Oryzias latipes: one gene and its partner. The protein of the gene in region 1 interacts with the protein of each later gene in a biochemical or structural test. Links are inferred from orthologs where the notes say so. Each region holds a gene or a part of one and is shown in the gene's direction. Other genes may lie near its edges.

What was found.
Region 2: the proteins of xrcc1 (region 1) and pnkp form a complex in vitro, tested with the Homo sapiens proteins (3 studies listed by BioGRID and IntAct, with this or other methods). The link is inferred for Oryzias latipes from reciprocal best matches to the Homo sapiens genes XRCC1 and PNKP.

What each region holds. Positions count from the first base shown.
Region 1 is NC_019874.2:25,075,488-25,079,876, forward strand, and holds the start of xrcc1 (DNA repair protein XRCC1), read left to right. Parts: upstream 1-1,382; 5' UTR 1,383-1,528; intron 1,529-1,742; 5' UTR 1,743-1,829; coding exon 1,830-1,880; intron 1,881-1,974; coding exon 1,975-2,067; intron 2,068-2,266; coding exon 2,267-2,374; intron 2,375-2,460; coding exon 2,461-2,619; intron 2,620-3,274; coding exon 3,275-3,349; intron 3,350-4,100; coding exon 4,101-4,224; intron 4,225-4,389. UniProt on the Homo sapiens protein: Scaffold protein involved in DNA single-strand break repair by mediating the assembly of DNA break repair protein complexes. Negatively regulates ADP-ribosyltransferase activity of PARP1 during base-excision repair in order to prevent excessive PARP1 activity.
Region 2 is NC_019871.2:32,537,653-32,541,472, forward strand, and holds part of pnkp (bifunctional polynucleotide phosphatase/kinase), read left to right. Parts: intron 1-336; coding exon 337-416; intron 417-556; coding exon 557-614; intron 615-727; coding exon 728-835; intron 836-906; coding exon 907-978; intron 979-1,099; coding exon 1,100-1,148; intron 1,149-1,515; coding exon 1,516-1,586; intron 1,587-1,703; coding exon 1,704-1,796; intron 1,797-3,820. UniProt on the Homo sapiens protein: Plays a key role in the repair of DNA damage, functioning as part of both the non-homologous end-joining (NHEJ) and base excision repair (BER) pathways.

The sequences.
Region 1 (4,389 bases):
AAGACCATCCGTTCAGGGTATAAGTGTGCATTTAACTTACTTTTGACTATTTGTAAGTCTGTGATCATGCAAACATAATAATAAATGAAAAGAAAACTGTCTCCTATCCCTTTTTCTACGTTAAAAACCCATTGCAAAAGTGTTGTGTGATATAATCTCAACAAACACACATATCTACAAATATGATAAATATTTCTGGCTGGCACTGAACCTTTACAATGTGTATTAATTATGTCTTTGTCATTCATTTACTTCTCTATTTACACATAAATACTTGTGTGTTTTTTTAAATTGCAGATTTTCATGTAGTTTGGTTGTAGACATAAGTGGTTATTTATTCATTTTTCATTCATTTATCTTCTAAACTCGTTTTTGTCCCTTTCGGGGTCACCAGTCACTCATGGGCGAGGTAGGCGGACTATACCCTGGACGTCACCAGTCTGACGCAGGGCAGCAGTTGTTTAGTTTTTATTTTATAATATTCTCTAAGTTTTAAGACTTTCTATTATGGAAAATTATTGTAAAAAGTGTGAAAGTTGGAAAGAAGGCAGATTTTATTTTTCTCTGATAGGATTTTTCATACATTAAGAAAAACTTGATGTAAAGAAAAAACACGAACCAAAAAAGAAGTAAATAACCGATAAAAGACTATTGTCTTATCATAACGACAAATCAACATAAATTGAAACTGCACATAGATGTATTTGCTACTTAAAAACAACATATTTATTGATTAATATTGCTGTTGGTTTTGTTTTGCTGGGGTGTCAGATATATAAATAAAGTCAATGACAGGCATTATGAATTAAATTACAAATTGGAGTTAACATGATTAAAATTATGCATAAATCAGAACTCATTTAGTCAGGTAATCTAAATTACCTGAAGACAGTTTGGAAAAAAGCAGTTTGGGAAAAAAATAATAAAAAAGAAGCTTTATAATGCATGTTTGGGTAACAAACCTTCTCATTACTTGTGTAGAAAGATTATGTGAACAGAGCTAGAATATTCTAACTTAAAAATAACTTTGCTTCTTAATATAAAAATATATTTTTTTACTACTGTAAAATAGTAATATCTTTATATGTGTAAATATGAGAAAGTGGAAGAATGGTCTTGCCACAAGGATGCCAAAGATATTGAAATTATTATTATTATTACTATTATCATCATCATTGTTGATATTATTATTGTTTTATTATTTCATTATCAATATTATTATTCATATGACCCATCATTATTAAAATTATTACTGAAATTACTATTAGTAAAAGTTCAGCTATTTGTCATTTAACCTATGCTCCCTCCGTCCACTTGGTGGCGACACAACGCTATTGTTCCATTAGTTTATCGTAAAAGAAGAAAACAAAGGCGCCTATTGGATGGTAATCTACCCCCGGAAGTTGCGTTGGATGAAGACATTTGCTCTCTTTTGGTGGGAAAATGAGCAACAATAAGACACGTTTACCTTAAAATAACCATTCCTACCGTGGTCTTTGTGATGTTTAATATAACGTCAAGTTAACGGGTACGTGTCAATCATGAAGCTACATATTAATTCACGTTTGCCTTTCAGTTTGTTAAAACGATCAGGCTGTTCACGAAAAAGTTCAGTTTTCTCAGTCTGCTAGCTTTTTCTCGCTAGTTAGTTTGTTGCTCCTGTCAAACATCAGTAATTAACACTTTTCTATGCATTATTTAGTGTCACTCCGAAAAGCTGAACGTTTGTGTTTTCTCGCCAGGTTAAAACAGTCACAACAGCGCCCGGTTGGCACACTTAGTGACAGATAGATTATTGGATTAAAAACACTAGTAGCAGGAATACCAAAATGCCAGAAATCAAACTCAAACACGTCGTATCCTGCACTTCCGAGGACAATGTAAGTTGTTTGCTGTGTTTTTTTTTTTTTTAGTGTAGCAGTTAGTTGTGGCTTCATGGCTTTATTAAACCCACTCTTCGTTGTGATATAACAGACTCACAAAGCGGACAACCTGCTGAGCTCAGACACCTACAGAAAGTGGAAAGCAGCGAGAGCCGGGGAGAAGCAGACATCAGTCATTCTGCAGGTTTGATTTAGCTTTCACACTCAAGTTAATGCATTTCAGTTACGGATGTGAGCTTAGTTTGTTAAAACAAAAAACAAAACTGGCTGATTTGAATGATTTTCCACTTCATTCCATAGATAAAATGATTGAAATACAGGCATAAGTTGGATGTTTTTAAAAAATTGACTTATTTTATTCCTTCTCTTATTCCTTTTCTCAGTTTGAGAAAGAGGAGCAGGTGCACAGTATCGATATTGGAAATGAAGGATCCGCTTTTGTTGAGGTGCTGGTGGCAAACTCTTCAGCCCCTAAAACTCAGGACTACGAGGTATTTCTTCAAAAAATACCCCCCCCCCCCCATCTTTACTCTTTGTTACTTAACAGGATGTGCCCTAATTTCAAAAACTCTTTCAGGTTCTTCTCGTCACATCTTCCTTCATGTCTCCAACGGAAAGTCGTAACGGATCTAACCTGAACCGCGTGCGTTTCTTTGGACCCAACCAGCTGCAGAAGAGCACAGCTCAGGAGAAATGGGACAGAGTCAAAATTGTTTGCAGCCAGCCATACAACAAGGTGAGGATTTTGACCATTTATATAAACAAATATCTCCATTTTTAGAATCGGATTTGGCTTATTTCAAACAATCTAAACCAAAAATACACGAAAAAAAAAGAAAAACCAATATCTATCTATACATAGATTTAGCAAACTTTGGATGATTAATTGCGGCTCGAGGTACATTTCCATATCATCTGTTTTGTTCCTTGTCGTTAATAAAAGTGTCATTTTGATCAATTGGATTTATTGAAGTGCTTTGGGGGAGTAAAGTTATCATATGTTTAGTGCACACAGCACACATGGTTCATGCTGTGGTTCACCTTCAGCCAACTGAAATGAACCTGCCAGTCTTACAGTACATGACACATTAAATCCATTAAATGTGAGGTTTGTCTCAAAGAGGTTAATTATTTGCTTGACAAGCAGTGGGAAGAAAAAGCTAATGTTGATATTTCCTTCTAAATTGACTCAAAGTTCTTGTGTACGTAACTAAGAACAAAAATAGCAAAAGTGTTGGGATAAACATCTATAACTTAAAGAAAATATACGCAACTTACCGGGCTGTCAAACAAAATACAGTTTGTGGAAACAGTAAAGTCTTCATGTTTGGTGTTGAAGCTTCATGACTAACCGTTAACCGAAATGAAAGCTTTTTTTTTGTGCCTTACAGAACATAGCGTATGGAATCGCCTTTGTTAAGTTCCACTCTCCACCTGACAAAAATGAGCCTCCAAGTTCCTCCCCTGTAAGTAAACCACTGTTAACTTTTTTTTTTCTATTTTATTTTCCATTTAAAAGTTAGGAAACACTAAATTAGCCTTATTAACACACGCTCTCATAAAGAAAATGGTAAGATCTCAAGTGTTAGTGGGTGCACCTCAGCACTCATGCACTTCATCACATCTAAGTTTTATAAATGTATGTAAATCTTGCAAAAACTGAAACTATTCTGATTTCAATAAACGCAATGTGATGTTATTGGATTAGTGTCATTTGTTAGTCTTTTTTTTTAAAACTATTTTAGATGTAACCCCTTAACTGCACACTTAACACACTTTTCTCTCTTGTTTAAACTCTTAAAATTCAAACATTGATTAAAGCATTAATCCATTGTTAGAGAATAAAAACATAGATATGCTAGTGATAGAGGATGTATGTAAATGTGGCAAACTGAATGCTTTCTGTGTAGGATAGACAGTATGGAAGAGGTTGATTTGGGAATACAGCCAATTAGGATGCAGAAGACAATGTGCTGTTAAAAAAACAAATAAAAAAGGATACAAACTGCATTAAAACATCAGGTGAACTGCAATATAGTGAGGAACCACTGCACAAGGTGGTAGATGCAATGTGTTTGGTTTTTTAATTACAAATCTGGAGGGAATCCAGAAAAACCAACATGGGAGTGTTGTCAAACAACTTTGGAACTTTTTGTCACAAATTGTGAGTCCCACCATCCTATTTCTTCTGTTTCCTTCGTTGTGTTTCCCGCTCAGAAAGTGACAAAGCTGGGACAGTTCAGAATAAAGGATGAGTCGCCTTCATCTGGGTCCAGTCTGCAACCCGGAAGTCTCTTCTTTAACCGAGAAAATGCAAACAAGTCGAGCACTTCACCTAAAGGTATTGAAATGAACTAAATGGCAGAATCCTTTTCAGATCTACTTGAAAAAATCAGCCAACAAGAAGCTCTGTAACTTAATTAATGTGGGCCGCATTTACACTGCATGGTTGAGGTGACCCAATTCCGATTTTTTTTCCTCTCATGTGGCACAGATCGGACATGAC
Region 2 (3,820 bases), on another chromosome or scaffold:
GTTACAGAGAGCTCTCTGTTTACACTCTCCTTTCACACCCCCAACCTAGCATTACCGATGCAGCAGAAATGTTGGAGATATCTAGCTGTACAGTTTAGATTCAGATTCCAGTTTAGACGAGGAAAACAAAGACGTTATGGATCAAATTACAACTTTGGGTTGTAAGGAATTAACATTATGATACACTTAAACGCTCAAAAACAGTTGATTTTTGCATGAAATGGGCTTTTAAACGTAATTTTCTTTATATTTGTCTTCCATCGTTCTCATCAGACAGAGCCTATGAGACCCCTGTGTGACGCTCATCCTCCTGTTCTGGGTTTCTCCTTCTCTTAGATTGCTGGTTTTGACATCGATGGATGCATCATCACAACCAAATCAGGCAAAGTCTTTCCTACCGCACCAGACGACTGGAAGTATGTCGCTTCGCATGTTTTTACCATCATCATCGTGAAGATCGTGGACGTTTGTGTCACTGCTATCGTCTTTAGGCTTGTATAGTTGGATTTACCTGTGTGCTCGGGCTGTTCCGGCCTTCTTTTTTCTTGATAACCAGGATTCTTTACGTAGAGATTCAGCCAAAACTGTCCAGTTTGCTTAAGAAAGGATACAAGGTGAGCGAAGAAATGAGATCTTTCAGAAGTTTCAACCAGTAATTGAAATATTCCAATGTATTTGCTCTGGCAGTGCTCAACTCTGGCTTCTAAAGTGTCCGCTCCTTCATCAGGTGGTGTTCTTCACCAACCAGCTCGGGATCGCCAAAGGCAAACTGAGGCCGGAGGTGTTCAAATCGAAGGTGGAGGACGTCCTGGCCACGCTGCAGCTGCCCGTGCAGGTTGGTCACTCTACAGGTTGGAGCGGCGGGTGGGAAGCAGAATTGGAATCCCCTCCTTGTCCCTGTTTCAGGTGTTTGTGGCAGCCGGTCCTGGAATCTACAGGAAACCAGTGACGGGGATGTGGGACCACCTGTGTGAGAAGGTTGTCAGGAGCACGCAGACACCCCGGCAGACATTCACAGACGGGCCTGGAAAGGTTTTCTCTGCTTTGTCTTCTGTTGCTTTTTCTGATTTGTTGATCTCTCTGCGTGTTTCCTGACCAGGCTAATGACGGCGTGACCGTTGACCTCAAACAGAGCTTCTATGTGGGAGGTTAGTCCTTTTCGCTGGCATGTTTCAAACACTGGAATAAAAGAAGGCTGTGTTGTATTACAAACTTGTCAGAGCTAAACCTTTGAAAACTAAGCTTTATGTTGGTTCAATAAAGGTCACAGTTTCTGCACTGTTTCCTGACTTCTTGGATTCTTCTGTTATCAGACACGGTTGTGTTTGTGCACATACCTGACATGTTTCAATGGACGTCCGTCGAAACATGTCAGGTATGTCTGATAACAGAAGAACCTAAGTCAGAAATAAGCTTTTAGTTGCTTTTGTAGACATGAGGATCTTGTCATGTAAATGTCAAAGGTCACACGAACACATAAGTGCACACTAAGGCTGCAGCCGTCTGTTTGTGCAGACGCTGCAGGGAGGCCAGAAAACTGGGCTCCTGGCAAAAAGAAGAAGGATTTTTCCTGCAGTGACCGTTTGGTAAGAGCTGCTGCCTTGATGTGTTTCCTCAGCTACTCATTTTTGGTTCCTTTGCCCCCCCCCTGCATACGTCACGCCAAACATCAATGGCTCCAAGTTTCCCTCCTTCTGTTGCAGTTCGCTCTGAACATTGGACTGCAGTTCCACACCCCGGAGGAATACTTTTTAGGCTGGAAGAACGCCCCCTTCAACCTGCCTGACTTTGATCCTGTGAGTACGATTCCCCCCACGAAGTCCTCTGTCCCCAAATATCAAGATATTTATAGAATATTCATAATGTGTGTAATAATGGTGATTAGCCTACTTGTTGTTAAACATTTCTATTTTATGAAAATATTTGTTCTGTACTAAACTTATTCTGAAAGTTTAGCCTCTAAACATTCGTTTGGATTCAGAAGGAAGGTCAGGAGAGACACTGAAGTCTTTAGTGAAGGAGTTTTCTGACTGAAATTATTATAAATTCATTTATTTATTTGCTTACTCTGCAAAAATGGAATCTTAAGGAAGTAGAACGACCTTGGTTTCAAGAAAAATGTCCTTTTTTCTGTCCTGTCTTGCAAGAAAACTAATCTTACCAAGAAAGTTTTTCAACAGCAAAATAGCCTTAAGGAAACATGTCTTAGTGACTGGAACTTTTTTCTTCAAATAAGAATTCATTATAAGACCGTTTTTCTTACCCCATTAGTAGAAATTTTGGCTTATTAAAAGTCCCAGTCCAACTATTTTTTTCTATTGTAACATTGCTCCCAGTGGTCTTTTAATTATGATTATGCTGTTTATACATAAAATAAAAAAACTGTTTTTAAGACATATTTTCTGCAGAGCAGACGGGGTCATTAGAAATGTGCGTTTGGGTGGGACTGTTAGCGCGGAAGTTAGCCTAGTTAATTTCCTAGCATGCCTCTGTTTGCTCTCTCTCCTACGACCGAGTTTTAGGGCCACGGTGAGGAAAAAAATTCTCGAGAAAAAACTCGTCGTGTCGAGATAAAAGTTGAAATAAAGTTTCGAGATTAAAGTCGCAATGTTGCGCGAGAGCAGAAGTATTCAGTGTTATGGCTAATGTTAGTGAGCTAGTGGCTTTGTACCAGAGTTTACGACAGAGTTTTATGGCCACCAAAAAAAAGTAATTTTATTAGGAGATAAAAACTCGTAAATTTACGGGAAGAAATTCATAGATTAACAAGGAGAAAACACCGAATTTGTCCGTTTATCGGAGCCTAGCTTGAAGAAGAAATGTGTGGAGCCTTTTGTGAAGCTTTATTTCCGGATTATAGGTTTAAAACAAAGAGATTCTGAGCCTTTGGCGACTCTAAATCAGATTATTGTCAGTGGATCCGTCTTTCCGGGGTTTGGTGTCAGTAAAGCGGCGTTTCATATGTAAAATAAGGAGCTCAGAGACACGTTTGGGTGTAGAGAACCGCTGCAGCCTTTATTCTCCTTTTCATTCACAAACCCTGAAGTTCATCTGTCACCTTACGTCATGAATCTGTCATCAGATCACCAATGCAGAAGTAAACAGTGTTCCATACACCCACTCCTCCAGATGAAGCGTCCCGTTTGATCATTAAAAAACAAAGATGAATGAAAATAGTCTGTTATATTAGCATTACAACGTTAAAATAGGCAAAAAGTGCTTCTCCTCCTCAGACTGAAGCGTCACACAAACGTAGAGATCTTGTCTTTCGTGGAGGAAGAAAGGATTGAAGTGGAAAGCTGCAGGGACACCCGATGGCTTCATCGGGCTGCAGAGATCCTGCAAACCAACCGTCAATAAATAAAACTTTAATAAATTGTAAATCAAACAAATGAGCTTCCAGTCATTTGGAACGTTATCAATAAACATTTAGCTCACCTGTTCAACTGAGTTTAGTCGGTCTGATCTGCTGCTGCGCGGCGTTCACCTGCTGCTCTGCATGCTGCTCACTTCCAAAATAATCTTGTAAATTTACGGGTTTTTTTCTAATACATTTACGAGTTTTTATCTAATACATTTACGAGTTTTTATCTCCTAAATTTACGAGATAAAATCTCTCTTGCGCAACATTGCGACTTTAATATAGAAACTTTATTTCAACTTTTATCTCGACACGACGAGTTTTTTCTCGAAACGTTGGCCAGAATTTTTTTTCCTCACCGTGTCCCTAAAACTCCGTCGTACTCTCCCGCTAGCAACAAGCACCTCACAAGTCCAAGCTAACATTAGCGGTGCAAAAAATGGCGTATAAATATACGGC